4 linked regions of the Schizosaccharomyces pombe genome follow. The protein of the gene in region 3 interacts with the protein of the main gene of each other region in a pairwise test. Each region holds a gene or a part of one and is shown on either strand. Other genes may lie near its edges.

Region 1 (4,276 bases), on a different chromosome or scaffold from region 3:
TTGTTTATTGATGGGTAAATTACGCTTATTTACTAAACTGCACACATTTTTTGACAGTTGAATACGTTCACATGTTCAATATGAAAACATTCTAAAGTCAAATTTTTTATTTTTCAACAAATGCAACAATAAAAGCGGGTTATAAGTACAGAACTTTTCCAATATCGATGGATCAGATTTGAAACAGACTTATACAATTTGACAACAACGTTGAATTGTAAAATATGTTTTTGCGTATTTAAACTCCATCCTATCAATTCAATACTAAGTCATAACTTGCTTTACCATACCACATAACACAGAAAAATTGATGCACTATGACAACTGAGACTTCGTAAAATAAATAGCTGAAAACTCTGCAATTGCAGAAAATATTCAAAAAAATTATATCAAATGAGTTAATGATTTGAAACACTGTCTTCGTATTTGAAGAATCCAATTAATTAGTTCCGCATGCATTATATCTTTTTCAATAAAAAGAATTCATCCTAATAACAGCGTACTAAAACTGCCGTAAACAGAATAATTATTTTTTTCACAAAATCACATGATATAGAAACTCATTAAGATAAATTTTTATTTTTTTTGTCTGAGATACTTGGCAAAGGACCATGTCTCTTTTCCCAACATTTCCTGAATTCTTCCATCTAAAAATATCAGAATTAGCTAAATTTTTTAAAGACATATAATTACCTGTTCTGTACATTTCCTCCAATCATGAGTATCCCAATAGCAATCATTCAGTCGAAGGTGCTCTTCTACACATCCACCTTTTTCAAGAGCAGTGTCCCATACATCTTTTTCCTCTTCTTCTCCGTCAGGAGTTTTTTCAATACTATCCATTCAGAAAAAATAAATTGATGCTTTATAATGTAAAAAATATGCAAAACCCAAAGTGTTTTGCTGAGTAAGGTAAAGCAGCAGATATTTGATTATTTAAGGAGAATGACCGAGAGACGACAGAAAAGGTGCAAAGACAAATAAACAAGAAAATACAGAATAAAGCTTGTCAGTATTAGAGAAAATAAGTTAATAGCTACTACAAAGGTTTTAAATGACCAACTGACTTCACCGCGGAATTTGAGATCGGTAACGGGGTTGATTGGGGTCAATGGGTATAGCAACTGCAGGGCTTTTAGTATTTTCATGATCTTCATTTTCAATGTTTTTAATCGTAGATTTTTGGGAGGTTTTATTTCCATGGGATGAACCTCGCATCACAAGGTCTGCCAACTTTGCGTTTCGTACTTCACCCTCAGGTCCTCCAAGAGAACGAGGTTTTCCCCATTGAACTTTCAGTCGAAACCCCTCTATAACAACATTTCCATCGGGAGATGCCGCCGCCGCAATCTCAGCACTAGAACGAGTTTTAAAGTTTACGAATGCGCATTTTGCTCGATGAGAACACACAACTGATTTAAGAGGCCCATATTGTTCAAAATGTTTACGAATTTTATAGTCAGCTAGTTCATCTTCGACGCCAATAAGGAAAAGGGATGCCTAAATGTTAGCACAATACAATGCGCCATCAAGCTTAAATTACTTTTAAGTCGCACTTACGATTTTTTTATCTTTAGGAGGTTCCATATTAATAGACAAGGAAACATTCCCATTAATAATTTTTTTAACCGGAAATAATGGGCGTTCTGCATTTAAAGATGCATCAGATGCTCGAGCCTCCTTTAATATTTGCTTAGACTCAACATCATCTAATTTTCGCTTAGGAGGTCTTGAATGTAATTCTCGTTTTTCTACCTTTTTAACAAGATTTCTTGCAGCGGCGCTTGCTTCCTGGCTATCGTAGGCCGTTTCGCCATTACTTAACAGGCGTTGTTGATTTTGAGCAAAGAATTCGCGATTAATATCGTTAGTGGGACCGCTTTCGACCAGTTTTAGGGCTGCATCCCTCAGGGCAATCTTCATGGAACGTTAGCTGACTATTATAGTTGAATGAAATATTGAACTTACCGGTAAACCAAATTGCAAATCAAGCATGCAACTCTGACAGCAGTTCTTATATCTGGCGCAACCAACACAAATTTGAGTTTTTCCAGGCTTTTGGCCGCGTTCTTTTATCCACCGAAAGATTGTACAAGGTTTTGAGCAAATTTTACATTCTTGTCCAAGTGGCTCCTTAGTCATACGAACATATGAATTGTCGCCCAAACAACGTTCACAGATGCTTGGAAATTCAACATCCTCCCATTCTTGTTTATTTATATCACCTTTTGGTCCATGAGACATATTAGAAACGCAATTCTCTTGCAATGCTAATCTTTGTAAATATGTGGTGGTGTTAAACTTTGCAAGGTGGAATACGAAGACTTTTAAGACAAATAAAATTCGTGAAAAACACATAAAATTTCATATGAATATCATTTAAATCTACAAATATATATAACTATTAAATTCACATATACAGTGAAGGGCAGAAGACTATGTTTCTGCGAATTAGATTTTGACACTCTTCCATCTTCGTATACATGGAAGAATCGCCGACGACACGGGCTGCTCCTCTGCATTCACGTAGAACTTCATCAAGTCTTATAATTGTTCTTACAATCGATCCTTCTAAAACGTCTGTTAAGTCTGTGATACGGTTGAAAGACATCCCTCTAGCCCACTCGTAGCAAACCTCCATTAAACCAAATCGTGGTTGTGATTCAAAATCATTACCTTCATTAAAATACAATACCTGATAGTGCTCTTGAATTTGATTAACTTTCTCGGCCACTGATAGTATCATTTCCTTTCCTTTTTGTAAATGAGGAGAAATTGTGGGTTCAACCTCCGTTTTCTCATCGAAAACAAATGCAGACAACAATGCTATTGTCTCTTCACAAGAAAAGTCCGCCAAACTGTTTTCCAAAATCAACTCTGTTAATACCAATTCACTGGTGGAATTAATTTCACATGCGACTCTTCCCTTTAGTAAAACAGTTCGCTCTGCGTCAATATATCCTAGTTCTTGCAATACTTTTATCCGTTGTTCGTAATCAGGCAGTAACTCTAGGTTTTGATCGGAAATATAGGAAGATAAGTTATCGATATTGCTTTCCAATTCATACTCTTGGTAAGCTAAGGCGAAATGAGTAAGAAAGTTTGGAGTCGAGATAATTGGATTTCCGGATAACTTGTTCTGAAGAAAATTTCGTTTTTCGAAAGCTTCACAAAATTCAAAGTCTCTGACTTTACTCCAATTAACTTCTTCAAAAAGCAGGTCGGAAAACTTTTTAATTGATGCAAATTGTTCACTAAGTTTTCGAAAAGCCCCCCCTCGACGGTCTCTAATTCCACCAGAATCAATTCGAAGGATCGTATTGCAGACTCTTTCAATACCGGAAAGATTGATAAGGCCATACTTGAATTGGTTTGATTCATCAAAGATAGCGTTATCATAAACATCATTGAACGCGTCAGCAAAAGCAAGTAAATCCGATGGTCGTTTGAGGTTGTTCTGTGGATTTAAATATGCAACTTCCAGTGTACAGTCTGAAGCATTGGTTCTAATGGATGTTCCGAGTAGAACTCCAACAGTGCGAGTAAAATCAAGTTGTTGAAAAACAATGACTCTTCCATCTTTAAATATTCTTTTGCCATTTGCAGTAGTTATTGCTCGGAAGTGCATTTTTTTGGTATACTCTTTAAAAGATTCACTGCTCAATAAACAACTTTTAATTTCTTTCAAATCAACATCAGACATTTCCTTCTTTAAAGCCGACAACTTTTCTTCAAAGCTTTTTATTTTTTCCTCGTGCTGAGGCACCAATGTTTGGTTAACGTTTTCACTAAAGCTGCGTTTAATCATGTCTTCAATTCTAAGCGTCTCTACACGTAGGAGGTTAAGTATCATATTATATGTTAAGCGAAATTGACTTATAAGCTTAGACGAAGGCCCCATAATCATGTGTCTCAACGAAGCTGTGTCAGGAAGTTCTGAACGCGATAATATAATAACTGTACCAGTGACATCAAGACCACGGCGTCCAGCGCGTCCAGAGCATTGTGTATACTCTCCGGGAAGAAGATCACGGAAGTTCCGTCCATCATGCTTTTGTGTACCGGAAAAAACCACCGATTTTGCAGGCATATTTACACCCATTGCAAAGGTCTCAGTAGCAAACAGAACCTTCACCAACCCTCTTTGAAAAAGGATTTCTACTATTTCCTTGATGATGGGTAACAGTCCGCCATGATGAACGGCTAAACCACGAGAAAGCATTTCTCGCATACGACCGATTTGAGGAAGCAATCGATCTTCTTTTTTTAATCGAGC
Region 2 (4,485 bases), on a different chromosome or scaffold from region 3:
AACATAAATACACTCATTAAACTATCCAACCACTAGTAGGAATTCATAATCTGCATAGCTGATTTACATCTACGGTTTACTAATACAGTACACACACACATAAGATCCTACCAAGCATACATTTGAATTGAATATATTAACTTTTTGGGCTTAGGCAGCAACAGGGCGACCGAATCCACCACGGAAGGAAGGAGCAAATCCACCGGGAGCAGCACCATCATCCTTCTTCTCGGCACGGCGGTAGCCAGCATCAGCAGCAGAGCTACGCTCACGAGGCTCAGGACGGCCAGCACGGGGGGCAGCAGGACGAACTTGACGCTTGTGAGTAGCGGGCACAACCTCAGCGGGAAGGTGCAAATACTCACGCAAGTATTCAACACCCTCGTTGGTCAAGGTGTAGTAAAACCATCCCCAATTGTAGCGGGTCTTAAGATAGCCGCGAGAATCCAAGGATTGACAAGCCTTAATGACTTGCAAGTTGGGGACACCAACTTCGGGGTGCTTGGGGAGGTTGAAATCTACGCTTGTTAGTTAAACCTTGGTCTACGACGTTTTTTAGACATTACCCTTCTTAGCAACGAGGACACCTTGTTGGAACAAAGCTTGATGAATGGCCTTGCGGTTCTCCTTGGGAATAAGCATTTTGTGAGGAATTTGCACGCTGCAACTTGTCGTTTCTGTGTTGAGGTCTACACAGTGACTGTTTTTTTAAAGCACATTTAGGGTAGGGTATGGTCTTTTAAAGAGATAAGGAATTTTGTTACAATCCGTTAATGGGTCTTTTTCCAAGAAGTAAACAATGGAACCTTGAAAACGTTAAGGCTAATAGGAAAGCAAATCTATGACTATGGAATAAAGCACAAGTTCATTACAACAGATTAAAAAATTTTCTTTAAGAAAGCAACAATAATAATCTATAGTTTTCTTATTTATGCACTCCAAAACATCAAGCATGAGAAAATTACTATTTAGAAACAAGCCAATATTTTATCATTGTTTACCGCCTACCAAAAGATGACATTAAATAGTAGATTCAAAAATTGGAATCTCATATCTAGCAATAACATACATATCATAACTATCCTCTCAATCTTAATCTTGGAAGTCGATGCCCTATTAATATCGCCGACGAAGATTTGATGGTGTCCATGGCAAATTGGGATGTGTTTCAGGTGTGGCATTGTCCACTTGTTTGTATATCTTTACGCTTTTATCAGCCTCACAAGTAATTAGACGCAAACCGGTTTTATCAAAAGAACTAGCAAAGATTCCAGCTTCGCTATCCAATGAACCAGGTTGAACAACAGATTGAAGCTCTTGATATTTGTGACCAGACTTCCAATCCCAAAAGCACATGCTTCCATTATCAGCACCAGAAAACATAACATTATCTGAGTTTATTGAAAGAGTATTAACGATTGCATTATGTCCTTCAAAATTACCCATAAATGCGCCTTCAGGGAATTTCCAATGTTTGATATTGTCGGACGAGCCACTGGCAAAAGTAAATTCATCTGGATGCAAAGACAGGGCACGAACAGTTTTTTTGTGATGTGTCAAGGTCGTCAAGGTTTTCCCAGCTGCTAAATCCCATAATCTGATAGTAGAATCCATGGAACCCGTGACTACTTGAGGATCGAATTCTTGAACGGCTAAAGAAGCAACAGTGGATTTGTGGCCCGATAAAACATGGACATTTTGGCGAGTGCGCATATCCCAAACACGAGCGACTGCATCACGACCAGCGGTAACAAGGACGTCAAGTGTTGGATGGAGTTTTAAGGCATAGACTCCGGAAAGATGCCCGTGATAATGGCGGATCACTTTATTAGTTTCGAGGTCCCAGCATTTTACCATTTTGTCTTCACCACAGGAAAATAAATATGGATGACGGGGAGATACTGCTAATCCTCGCACAGTGGCGATATGCCCAGTCAATGTTAGCTTAAGTACTCCAGACGCTAAGTCCCATATTTTGATGGTGCGGTCCCCAGCACCCGTGCAAAACCATTGATTACCGGGTTCAACATCTACGCATCGAACCCAACCCAAATGACCACTAATAACACGCATAAGAGTCCATGGAGCATGCCATTCAGGGCGAATCTGTTCGGCAAGAGTGCGCTTTACGAGAGAAGCCTGGGATTCTCCGGCAATTCTATGTGCTGCTTCAGGAACTCCTTTAATTTTTTCTAAAGATTGCATGGAAACCTGCCCTGCTATTTTCTTATTAGGATCTGAAAACTTGGTGATCACTTGGGAGGAAGGGTTTTCACTGTCTGCTCTAACCGTCAAAGCATTACTACCAATAGTGTCTTCTTCGTAATGTCGGTTCTTCCGTTTTCCAACAGTTCCTCCAAGAACAGAACCATATTCTAAATGTTCTTTGTATGTTCTTTTGAGATTTTGAGCTACAGTATCGTCAAAACTGGTAACTGACCCAAACTCGGCTCCAAAAAGAGTTTTTGATGTTCTAAGACTATTTGTAGTCAAAGAAAGTACATCTGTATCATCCGATATGTTTTTTGCTTCTGTCATAAATCTGTTAAATTTTTGGTAGAGGATTTGTAGGTAGATGGCAGTTGGACTGACTTATTTGAAGCATCATAATCCACGAACATTAGCGAACGAGAAATATTAAGTACTAATATTTGAGAATAAAGTAGCTTACAAATGAATTGTCAAAATAAAAAAAGGGATGGTTATCAAGTAATAAAAGTTTGTAATATATATACATTTATTAAACGGTCTAGTTACGGATTATTAATAACATGATGTTCTAAAAGCGATAGTAGCAATAAATATATGGAGAGGAGGAAATGATGGAAAGTAATTAATTAACCCTGAATTTAAAAAGTAAATCATGCACAGGTAGTCTTGTCTAAAAAGAAAAAAAAGAAGCGGTAGAGAGGATTTGTGTATAAGTCAGGTAGTACTCAGAAAATACAAGTCGAAGAAAAGATAGATCAAAACGGATCATTGTAAAGCATTCAAAATTGAATTAATGGCCCATTGGACGTTATCTCTCACAGACATTTTACTAGAAGGGCTTAACTGTATACGCTTATCAAGCAATTTCCCTGTCACATCGCCATTGACAAACAAATGGGAATGACCATGTACATAGCCAGGCCAAACATAATTTTCGAAATAATGTGGGGGGTCTTGCCAAAATCCTGGAACAATTTGGAGTTAGCCTTAACTGAAAGGTACAACGATTAAACACAGGTGTTATGTTTTATCTGGATAGTTGAATTCTTACCTTCCAACGTTATATAACCAGTACGGGCTTCTCTACGACGCTTAAGCGTATCAAAATCGGTCACCAGCATCAGTCGAATATCAAATGCGTTTATAAGGTCTTCATTAACGTACATCATAAATCCGTCTACGAAAACGAGATGCTGTTCCAAAGTTGGAATGGCCGGTGCCTTGAATTCTTTAATTATATCAGCGTATTCTATTAGGGCTTCAGGAGCAACATTTTTATTTTCCCTATTTCGAAGGTGAGTAGGTAACACGCCATGATCACGGATATAATGCAAATTTTCAAGGAAAGCGTCTAAATTCAACGACTCTTGGCAATCCCAATCGGCAATGCCGTTTTTGACTGGTATCTCAGCATCAGTCTACAAAACAAACGAGTTAGTATATCAATAGGTGCTTTGGCACTACATAAAAACACAGTGTTTGCTTCATCGATAAGATTCAACCATCGGTTTTTAAAACGAGGGTACGATTTATTCTATGACACTTGCAAAATTCGCACGACTAGGCAAATAGACGAAATAATCTAAACGAACCTTGTAAAAATCATCTTCATGAACGAGAGAAGATCCTTCAAAAATGGCATGTAAAAGCTGGCATAGAGTCTGTCAAAACAAGAAAGAGAAATTGGTTAGTACTTCATTTTTTTTTTATTTTGGAGTTTTTGATTTTATTTTATTCTTTCTTATTAATCAAAATTATCATACCGATTTTCCACTACAAGAGGCACCACTAATTTTTTCTTGTTAATAAAAATTCATTAAAACAATTGCCTGTAGAACTTACCTAACCCCAACAATGATAGTTTTCCGAGTCATTCTAATGATAATATGGAAAAATGAAGGTAAAAATTGAGACAAGAAGCCTGGACAGAAGCTGGATACTGGAATTCGGTCTGTTATATTTGCACAACACAATTAATTAATTACCAGCCAAAAGCTGTAAGACAGGTTAACCGAATTTTAAAAAGAATTTGGATTTAAACAAAGCGCCTAGTATCTTAAATCAAGCTCGATGATTATTTGTTATGGAAATAAACGAGAATTTTAAAAAGATATGTGGTAAAGAAGCCGAATCCACAAAATTTTATAACAACCAACAAAACTTTTAGATATACAAGAACAAGTAAAAGATCACTTATAACGATTTCGCAAGTATAAGAAAATGGAAAAAGAAAGGAGTATACAAATTCTTTACGGTATAAATGGAGGATTTGAA
Region 3 (5,798 bases):
TCTCTGGACGAACCCATTCGTGTTACATTATTTAATGAATTTAGAGCTATTGGTGAAAAACTCGTCTATGTTTTGTATCCCAAAAATGCTCAAGTACTACGCGACTGGGACTTGTGGGGTCCTTTGATTTTTTCCCTCGTAATTGCTTTAGCACTTGCCTTGTCTACTGACAAGATTGAACGAGAATCTGTTTTTACAGTCGTTGTCGCGCTCATATGGTTTGGGGAAGCGGTTTGTTCTTTAAATATAAAATTACTAGGGGCCAACATTAGCATTTTTCAATCTATGTGTATATTGGGGTACTCCTCTTTCCCTTTAATGATTGCTTCTATAGTTTGTGCATTCGTTCCCTTAATATTTATACGCATACCTGTGATTGTTGCAATGTATGCCTGGACATTGTTCGCTGCTATGGGTGTTTTACAAAATTCTAATCTATCCAACAAAAAATTGTTGGCAGTATACCCTTTATTCCTTTTCTACTTTTCTCTAGCTTGGATTATCTTTTTATAAAACTTTCGTTTTATTTCAGGCATGATAATATACACTATGAATGATAAGCTATGACAATTATTTAAAACAAAGTGAAGTGAAGTTTAATTTTGTCCAGTAACCCTAGCATAATCTTGTTGAGCATACGCCTCGATTTGTTGCATTTTGCTTAGCTCTATTTCAGCTGCTTCAAGCCTATTAGGTAGAGCTAATCGCTCCTGATTGTATAGAAATTCGTAGCACGTTAAATTTTTCCTTTCTGTTTGCAAAGCCTTCCAAGCATGCGAGATTTTCTTTATCAAAAAATTACGTTGCTCATATGAAGATCTAACCAAATCATAAACCCGATTTTCCAACTTGTTACATTCCAATGCTTTCTTAGCTAAATCTCGTTGAATGTCGTTCGTATAAAACTTTTCAGCGGCTTCAACGTCTTCATCGTCTTCCTCGTAGATTACCAAGCCTGGCAACAAACTTGAGGTGTTGTGAAGTGCACTGTACGTTTCCAAAAATTCCTTCTCGAATTGGATATAATCGTCACTTTCTAGTTGCCCTATCTCTTTCTTTAGTAACAATCTACACCTCTCAATTTCTTCATTTGACAAATCAGGCACTTTGTTAGCCGTTCCTTTCACTTTTGAATTTCCAAACGGATAATTAATGGCGTCCGATGAAATCAAAGCAATCATTTCTTTCAATAAAACATTTGCAGTCGGATCTTCATTTTCAAGTGAACGCTTCCATTTTTCTGGTTGTGTTACAGATGGTCGAATCAAATCTCTTTGAATAACCTGTGACCTCCTCGCTTTTGCCAACCTTTCTTTTTCTGCAATACGTTCTTGGATACGACGTTCTCGGTCTGTTGCGTCTTCTTCAAGCACTCCAACAGTAGCTTCAACATCAGTTTCGTCCGCAAATCGAGGCTCCATTAGTTCATAGTCGTTTTTAGGTTTAGGTAGTTTTGCAAGCAATTCTCGCAAAGCCTTCAATCGAATTTTATTTTCTCTTTCACTTGCTAATCGTCCTGCTCGCTCCGCAGCTGCATTAATAGAAAATGTGTCACGTGGTGTTCTAAAAGGAGTTGCTTGAGGTGCTGCCAAAGCTGAGCCATTAGCTGCATGACTGGGAGTAACTCCTGTGTAACCAGTACCACCAGGTTGTAAAGGTATACTTTCCTGACCCAAGAGAGAAGATTGTTCGCGGTTCCTCATCAATTGATTTCTAACTTCAATTGTAACTGAATCCTCTCTTCCCTCAAGTTCACCACTAATTGGTGTTCTCAATGGAGTAGCTCGTTCAATTTGTGTATACTTTCCTAACAAATTAGTACTGTAATTAGCATCTGGAGTCGTATCAGTCATAGCGCGAGCACGATCGCCTGCAAAGCCTAGTTTCACTACTTTATCCAGTTCATCTTGAGACACAGTAGGACTAGGTAAATTCAACTTCCGCCTCTTGCTCATCTGCTCAGCCTCGGCAAGACGTCGCATTTTTTCTTCTTGGGCATCTTTGTTGGGCTTTTTTACTCTATCAATAGGTTTTGGCTTTTCAAAATGACCAAATTTTCGACCTTCGGATTCCATTTCATTATTCCGTATTCCATTTTCAATTATCTTCTGGTCCGCTTCTCGCTTTTCCCGAAAATTTTGCCTGTCCTCTTCTGAGGTATCATAAAAACCAATCGCTGGCTTTTTTTCAAATGGAATAGAAGCGTTATAATCCATTTCATTCTTCTTTCGACGGAAGAGCTTTATACTAAGTTATAGATTAACATAATGAAGGAAAAACAATACAATAAAGTAATAATAATAACACATACTTGATTCCAGCTGCCTTCAATTCTCTTCGCTTTTGGAGATGTGACAATCTTCTAGTTAATTCAAGCTGCTTTTCTCTATCCTTTCGTTTGGCTTTCTTTCCTTGTGTGTTTGCTAAACGTGCACGTGCTTCACTCAACATCTCTTTTTCGTCTTCATCCATGTCAATGGCATCAGGGAGTGCAGGTAGGGTTTCTAAATTGGGCTCTGCTTCGCCAAAACGAAGCCGGGAATTTGGATCGTTAACAGGCGCAGCTGCTTCTGCACCTTCTCCACTGATCAATCCCAACTGCTCGTTCTCTTTCGCTTCCAAATCATCAAGAAGTTTTTGATAGCGTTCTAAACATTGAGTGGCCGTCCGACCTACAATTGGAGCAATCGTCCGCCACTGTGTAGGAAGTAACTTAGCTAAGTGTAATAATTTTTCGTCCTCTTCACGACTCCATTCAGTCTAAATGTGAAGGAAATGTTAACAATAGGTCTTGTCAAATAACAAATAGTGATTACATGTTTAACATACCTTTTTAATGCTTGGATCGATCCATTCATACCAACGAGCTTTACATTGTTTAGGAGTTTTGCGAACCAGCAATGAACTTATGCGGGCCCATTGGTTTTTACCGTATTTACTGACAGCAGCCTAGGAATTTGCGTTAGTATTCTAAATATTAAAGGAAATATGTAACTAATAAATAAAAAAATACCTTTAAGATTTCATCCTGTTTACCAATAAGTTAGTAACAAAAACATTGCGCGTGGTAGAAGGTTAAAATCATAGTCTTTACCTCTGTATTTTTCCAGGCACCTAAATTATGTTAGAAAATACAATAAAAAAAGTTACAAACCTCCTTTTAAAACAACCATTTTCTAAATATTCGCCAAAACCCTGACAATTGTCAGAAAGCGTGGTAATGGAGGTTTGTAGTAACTGTAACAACTTGCGACGAAACAGGGTGGATGGGAAATTGAGGTAAATGTCGAGTGCAGCAGAAAGTGACCAAAATTATATTTTATATTTAAAGTAGTTTTAACTTTTAAAAGAACAGTTTCTTAAACACACTAATAGTCAAACCAAATATTCATTTTATTGTTTTTTCCAGTTTGCTACGTATCACATATTTACCTTAAATTATTTCAATGTAGCACATGTTTCTTTATCGCAAAAATATAATAGCGCAAAATCGTTGGACAACATTAAATTTTTTTGAATATTCCTAACCGTTGAGTATTAAGAAAATATTTGACAAGCAGGATATAGCAATGATCAAATATGTTTATCTTGAAGGTGGATCTACCATACTCTTCCTCTTATTTATGGTTGGTATATCAACAAGTAACTACAAGCATTGCAGTATTATGTGTATCGTTAAGTAACCTAATGACCGCGTATTTGTCAGCAATACTACACTACGTTACATATCACTATATGTCATATGTTGGAATACTAATTAAGATCCGTCTATTGATCATCACGGGTAACTATCCGTCTATATACATAGATACCCGTTGATAGCAACTATTTAGAAATATTATAAATAGAGTTTTAACTGAACTGAGGAACGAGGTTCAGTTATAAGCTATATTAGTGATAGGTAACATTTTATAACCTAGTTAATACAATACCTATACTCAGTTGCTACTCATACGACCTGTGTATTGTAATATAATAGACCACAAGGAAAACTCACCGCAGTTCTACGTATCCTTAAATTAGATAACAAACTGTGTAGCTAGCAGTATTGTGAAAAATAAAATAAGCAATGCAAAAGAAGTATAATGTATCACGCATTTCAATTTTAATGGAATACACTCAAGTTCATTATTTTTATGGGTACTTTGCAAACATATGAATGCATTAGTTTAGCAAAAGCTTTCTTAGATTCTGTGTGAAAACATTAAGAAACTGCTTTATTTGTTTGTTTCTGAAGCTCATCTTTTACTTTCTTTAGGTTATATTTTGCAAATTGCCGCTTTTTTTATGCTCGTCCATGGGTTATCATCTATTTGTTAGACAAACCAACAAAGTTTACGATTGAACAATTGTTCTATTTATCATTATCGAATTTAAAGAAAAACTTAAGGTTTAAAAGAAATGTCAGTGCTCGGGAAAACTTTACAGGAGAAAGTCAATCTCTTGGCTCAATATCCTCAAACAGGGTTGTCTTTAAAGCAATTAGTGTATTTTGGTAAGAATTTTTGCTCAGTTAATTTTTCTTAGATTACTTCATACTAGAAATTTTATACTGACTGCTTAATTTTTATTATGAAGGCAAGAACCCTACACCAGGAACACTTTTCCGGGCTGGCTTGTTTTTGCGAGATGAATTGCCCATTCGCTTGGCTCGGCGCATCCAAGACCTGCAGAATCTTTCACCGATGCTACGAAGTATGAAGCGTATATCTTCCGTAAAGGCTGCTTACGGTAGATCTATGGAGGTAGGTCAAATGTGTATATTTGCATGTTCGATACTTGTCGAAACATAACCAGAAATCAAACAAAGCTAACTGGTTGAAGGAAATTATTGAACTGAAAGGAGTGGAACTACCGAAATGTCTTCCAAAGCACGCTCGATATCACAATGCCCCGAAATGGAGGTCAAGTTTAATGGACTCTGAAATTCTTCATAATCCCTCGCTTGCAAATACTCATTTAGACTCTTCAAAAGGTCGCTATTTTGAAACAGATTTTTCTGACCAAGATAATGGCGTTGATTGTAATTGGCCCGAATCTTTGTTAAAATTTAATAGTAATTTTGCATACCTTTTAAATACCATTCGAACTAGACACGATAACGTTGCAGTCGAAATTGCTTTGGACATACAAGAATACCGAAGGAAGACTAACCAAATTGACAACAGTATTCAAATATTTTTGGATAGGTTTTACATGTCTCGTATTGGAATTCGAATGCTGTTAGGTCAATATATAGCACTTGTCTCTGAACCGCCGCGTGAGAATTACGTTGGTGTGATAAGTACACGTGCAAATATTTATCAAATAATAGAAGGTGCTGCTGAAAATGCCAAGTACATTTGCAGGCTTGCGTACGGATTGTTTGAAGCACCTGAGATTCAAATTATTTGCGATCCTTCACTTGAAATGATGTATGTAGAGTCCCATTTAAATCACGCAGTCTTTGAAATTCTCAAAAACAGTCTTCGTGCAACCGTAGAATTTCATGGTGTAGACAGTGATTTCTTTCCTCCCATAAAGGTCATTGTTGCAAAAGGACAAGAGGATATAACCATCAAAATCTCTGATGAAGGAGGCGGTATATCCCGTCGAAATATCCCTTTAGTTTGGTCATACATGTTTACAACTGCCTCTCCTACATTGACAGATGATCCTCACGATATCGTTAGCGCAAATTCTACTACTCCTATGGCTGTAAGTGAAACATTTTATTATTGATCGTTGAAATATATAATACTAACAAACATGCATAGGGCTTCGGGTTTGGTCTTCCTCTCGCTCGACTTTATACTAGG
Region 4 (4,151 bases), on a different chromosome or scaffold from region 3:
TGACGGAATGAACTAATATAGATCTTTTTAAACAAAAGGCACCCTGCATCTCTACCTGCGCGTTTTGTATATCACTTTCATTAGCTAACCATATGAAAGCAATGCTAGTTGAAGTCCCGTCAACACAACGTAGAACACGAGCAGAAATAAAGTTATAACGTTGAAACAAGTATTTTATATCATTTTCAGACACTTCTGGATCAATGTTACTAATGAAAAGCATATAGTAACTAGGTTTTTGCCATTCAGGAACCACATCTAAAGAGATCGGGTTCCCAGATATTAATCGTTGAGTAGATTGCCTTTCTAAAGCATTCCTAGCAGCATCTTGACTCTCAAATTCAATGCAGCAAGTTTTTAAAATAGCTCCCGACTCGCCATCTTCATAATAGTTTACTTTTCTAACATTTTCAAAAATTGCTCGAATATAGTCCTCATTCATCCATTCTTCTAAGTTATTTAACCTGTTTAATTAGAAATAAGATTAGATGATGTATCATTACCATAAAGATGTACTCATAACGCATATAATTTGATAATTAATCGAAATCTAAGAAACTTGTAGTTATAGGAATTATAACAGGCTTGACAACTAAGATCGTCAAATAATAAGTTCTACAGAAAATTTTAATAGTATTTAATGTTTATTGAAAAATTATTCATGAAATAAAAATTAATTCAATTCCCCAAGAAATATTGTTCGATCTGAGGAACATGAAAGAATGATGTCCTGATGTGGATGAAAGTCAACGTGATTTACTGAACCCTCATGTCCGGGTAATACATAACGTAAATCGCCTGTGGCTGACCAAACATATACGTTTTTATCAGAGCTACCAGCACCAACGAATCGTGAATTACGACTCCAGGCAACACCTAACAAATTATGCTCCTGTCCGTGAATAGCTCCTTCAAAAATTTGCAACTGTCGTTGAGCAGAAGCAAAAGGTTTTACATCAAATATTCGAACTATAAATTAAAATAGCATTAGTACAAAGGTTGATCAAACACCCAAAAAAAATTAGCATACCCGTGTTGTCCATAGAATTAGAAAGTAAGCTAGATCCATCTTTAGATATAGCCAAACTAGTAATGATATCTTTATGCCCTTTCAGAACATGCGAGCAGTGATTGTTTCGTAAATCCCAGATTTTAATAGCTCCGTCAATACCACCGATAAAAACTTGGGTTCCTTGCTGCGCTATTGCGACAGCCGTTAAGGGATATTTTTCTTCTATTGTTTTTATGCAGTCTTTTGACCGCGAGTCCCATACCTTAAATTTAGTAACTATTCCATATTTTAATAACAATATCCATACCTTCATAGTACAATCATCACTTACAGAAGTCAGAAGTTCGGAACCAACTTTTAAAACGTCTAAAGCATTCACCACGCCAGCGTGGCCTTTATGCTTCCGGATTTTTTGACCAGAGACAGCGTCCCAAGACATGAGGTGTGTATCGGAGGAAGAACAGTAAACTACGCGTGAATCCCTGCTCCACTGTAAATCAGTTATGGCTCCCTTGCAGCCATTTAATACTCCGTAGTTTTTAACGTCACCAAACACATTCCAAAGAACTAAACCACAGTTATTATAAATCAACATTTTAATTACAGCTGCACTTACGTATCTGTCTATCCATACCGCCAGAAGCAAAGTATGATCCAGAAGGATCGAACCTGGCGACTAAAACTTCAGCCTAAAGCGTTAGTATGATTTATTTCAATACAACCATACCGTATGCCCAAACATCTGTAGGTTTGGAACATTGAGATCAGATGTTCGTTGCAATACAGAACCCTCCGTTATTAAGCTAGAATCTTGGATTCTAATTCTTTTAACCTATTTATATTAGTGCATGTTTTTTTAGCAATCGAACATACTAAATGTCCATTAGTCGCACTCTCCGATTCCTTTCGTTTATCCATTTCCAGTTTACTATATATAATAACTGCAATTTCTGATTGACAGTTTTCAGAATTAGAACGTAAAATGAATAGCAGGGACGGGAGTGGAAAATATATAAAACGGATCGACAATCGTCGCAGGGGTTTCTGTCACAACCAAAATACCAATAAATCGGACTTTTCTTTGGTGTTCAAATAACGAGGAATGATGAGCTCATTCCTATAAACAGGACTTAAAGTAGAATTTATATGAACAACATTTTGATTACAGGCAAAATCCCTAAAAATTTACCCTTCTCATGGAAGCCATTTAAAATTCGTTTAAACAGTATAAATAAATTGTAAGAAATATCTATTCCGTATACTATATACAGACCTTGTTTGTGCTTGAGGAAAAACACTAGTATCAATTAATGTCTTATAATATTTAACGAGCGGCTTTAATATCTAGTCTATCTCGATTTTACCACCATCAAAAACACTTGAGAAGCATTTTGCCATTAGCTAAAGATGCGTAATCACATTTTTTTTGGGTATAGTTATTAACAAATTTTTCTACTTAAAAATTGTATGTACGGTTTTCTGGGCTGAATTGTCTATTCTAGTCGCCTCAAAAATTGAAATATAAACAACGAGATAATCACTGATTAGGTATAACCGCATACAAAATTTCATAAACTTTCTCCCGTCGAATATATTTGTACTTTAAGAAATTAATTTTTGATTAATATCAAAATCCATAATTCTACAGGGAATCTAGCATGGCAATAATAAAGGATTATCCAGTAGATAGTAGTTCTAAAGCCGGATTATAGCATTTGCAATGAAAGAGAGAAACTAAATTTTCTACTTGATAAAAAATGAATTATAGAAAACTAAAATGTGGAATATGTGAAACTAAACAAATTTACGCAAAGCTTCCAATCTTCATGTAAGTACTTTCTAAAAACTTGTAGTGCCAAAATTAAGCATCTTGCTTGATTTACTGAAAAACACAATTTGCAACTAGTTTTCGAATAGTGAACACATTCCAAAATCTTTACTACTAAAAGCATTTCTAACAACTTTAGAAAATGATAATATGAGTTCCAGTGCTTAGTATTTACATCGCTAACTTATGTAAAAAGCTGTAGATATGTATATTTTCCAAGGCAAGGTAAATAAAACAAGAATAATTGATACTATCTACATAATTACAGCATTCTTACAAAAAACTGCGGCTAATAGTATTCTTAATTCATTATGATGTTTTTACGGATGAAGAAATATCAATTTACATTTACTTTCTAAACCCACCTATCCCTTAATTCCACAGTTTTCAGTTAGTAAGTTTGCATATATAAAATCTGAAATTACCACTGGTTGATTCATTGAAAGTATATCATCTTAGAACCATATTTTAATATAGCCCATTTTAGATAATTCAAATCCGAATATATACATAATAACTATTATTAAAAATGTTTTTAGAGCATGACTTGCCTTGGAAAATAAGAAACCTCTATAGAGTTTTACTCTTCAAGGGTTTTGATTTACTCTGTAACTAAATTCAAACATAACATTTATGATTTTATGATTTTCAGTAATTGATAGAAAACTAAAATGAAAATATGATATACAAAATGTTGCGGTAGTATAGCGTGCGCAGATCTTTAAAATTATATATCGCCAGCGTGCATCGTTGTAGATCCATATTCTCGTTCGCAACACCTAACTTCTGCACATTTCTAGTTTATGGCTGATCCAGGTTTAAGGTCCGGCGTCGGATTGCCAAGCCAGCAAGGACAGAAACATGATTTACAAAAAGATCAAAAACAACCGCACGTAAATAATGCCGATAGGACCACACAATCCTTACTGAATTCGTACATATATGATTATTTAATCAAGAAGGATTATTGTGAGGCAGCCCGAGCTTTTGGCCGTGAAGCACAAGTACAAACGCTCGTCAGAAGTCAAGAAGAAACCAATTCCTTAGCTAAGCGTCACAAAAGAATGTCTCCTGTTGCTGTAAAGCATGAAGGTATAAGTAATAATGAATCTTCGGATGAAAACATGAATGTAAATAACGGTAATTTAGATTCCTTTTCTTCTTCTTCTGCTCCGCCGCCACCTCCTATTTTGCCTATCGATTCAGCTGGTGGTTTTTTAATCGAGTGGTGGAATGTTTTTTGGGATATTTACAATGCTCGTCGGGGTCAAGGATCTGAGCCGGCAAAGGCGTATATGTCTCATATTAGCA

What was found.
Region 1: the proteins of cdc5 (region 3) and cwf5 interact in binary tests that used the Schizosaccharomyces pombe proteins (3 or more experiments, as listed by UniProt).
Region 2: the proteins of cdc5 (region 3) and prp5 interact in binary tests that used the Schizosaccharomyces pombe proteins (3 or more experiments, as listed by UniProt).
Region 4: the proteins of cdc5 (region 3) and spf38 interact in binary tests that used the Schizosaccharomyces pombe proteins (3 or more experiments, as listed by UniProt).

Annotation. Positions count from the first base shown.
Region 1 is NC_003421.2:1,185,325-1,189,600, forward strand, and holds cwf5 (Prp19 complex subunit, RNA-binding Cwf5), read right to left. Parts: upstream 2,299-4,276; 5' UTR 2,245-2,298; coding exon 1,969-2,244; intron 1,918-1,968; coding exon 1,561-1,917; intron 1,501-1,560; coding exon 1,069-1,500; downstream 1-1,068. Other genes in the region: coa4 (respiratory chain complex assembly protein), read right to left, coding at 564-647, 694-843; Ski complex RNA helicase Ski2, read right to left, coding at 2,411-4,276.
Region 2 is NC_003423.3:1,444,165-1,448,649, reverse strand, and holds prp5 (Prp19 complex WD repeat protein Prp5), read right to left. Parts: upstream 2,559-4,485; 5' UTR 2,539-2,558; coding exon 1,117-2,538; 3' UTR 915-1,116; downstream 1-914. Other genes in the region: rps1002 (40S ribosomal protein eS10), read right to left, coding at 151-518, 567-642; nrk1 (nicotinamide riboside kinase), read right to left, coding at 2,977-3,176, 3,263-3,629, 3,804-3,872, 3,975-3,999, 4,054-4,085. UniProt on the Schizosaccharomyces pombe protein: Required for both cell cycle progression at G2/M and pre-mRNA splicing. Interacts genetically with the PRP4 kinase.
Region 3 is NC_003424.3:2,692,133-2,697,930, reverse strand, and holds cdc5 (splicing factor Cdc5), read right to left. Parts: upstream 3,233-5,798; 5' UTR 3,174-3,232; coding exon 3,155-3,173; exon of another isoform or gene 3,115-3,154; coding exon 3,095-3,114; exon of another isoform or gene 3,038-3,094; intron 3,029-3,037; coding exon 3,014-3,028; exon of another isoform or gene 2,950-3,013; coding exon 2,830-2,949; exon of another isoform or gene 2,761-2,829; coding exon 2,312-2,760; exon of another isoform or gene 2,248-2,311; coding exon 597-2,247; 3' UTR 514-596; downstream 1-513. Other genes in the region: SPOM_SPAC644.13C (Rab GTPase-binding protein), read left to right, coding at 1-513; [pyruvate dehydrogenase (acetyl-transferring)] kinase Pkp1, read left to right, coding at 4,402-4,495, 4,579-4,745, 4,825-5,697, 5,757-5,798. UniProt on the Schizosaccharomyces pombe protein: Involved in mRNA splicing and cell cycle control.
Region 4 is NC_003423.3:4,402,340-4,406,490, reverse strand, and holds spf38 (U5 snRNP complex subunit Spf38), read right to left. Parts: upstream 2,062-4,151; 5' UTR 1,931-2,061; coding exon 1,886-1,930; exon of another isoform or gene 1,845-1,885; coding exon 1,740-1,844; exon of another isoform or gene 1,702-1,739; coding exon 1,629-1,701; exon of another isoform or gene 1,580-1,628; coding exon 1,320-1,579; intron 1,275-1,319; coding exon 1,031-1,274; intron 970-1,030; coding exon 674-969; 3' UTR 605-673; downstream 1-604. Other genes in the region: U1 snRNP-associated protein Usp109, read right to left, coding at 1-464, 504-520; adn2 (transcription factor), read left to right, coding at 3,644-4,151. UniProt on the Schizosaccharomyces pombe protein: Involved in mRNA splicing where it associates with cdc5 and the other cwf proteins as part of the spliceosome.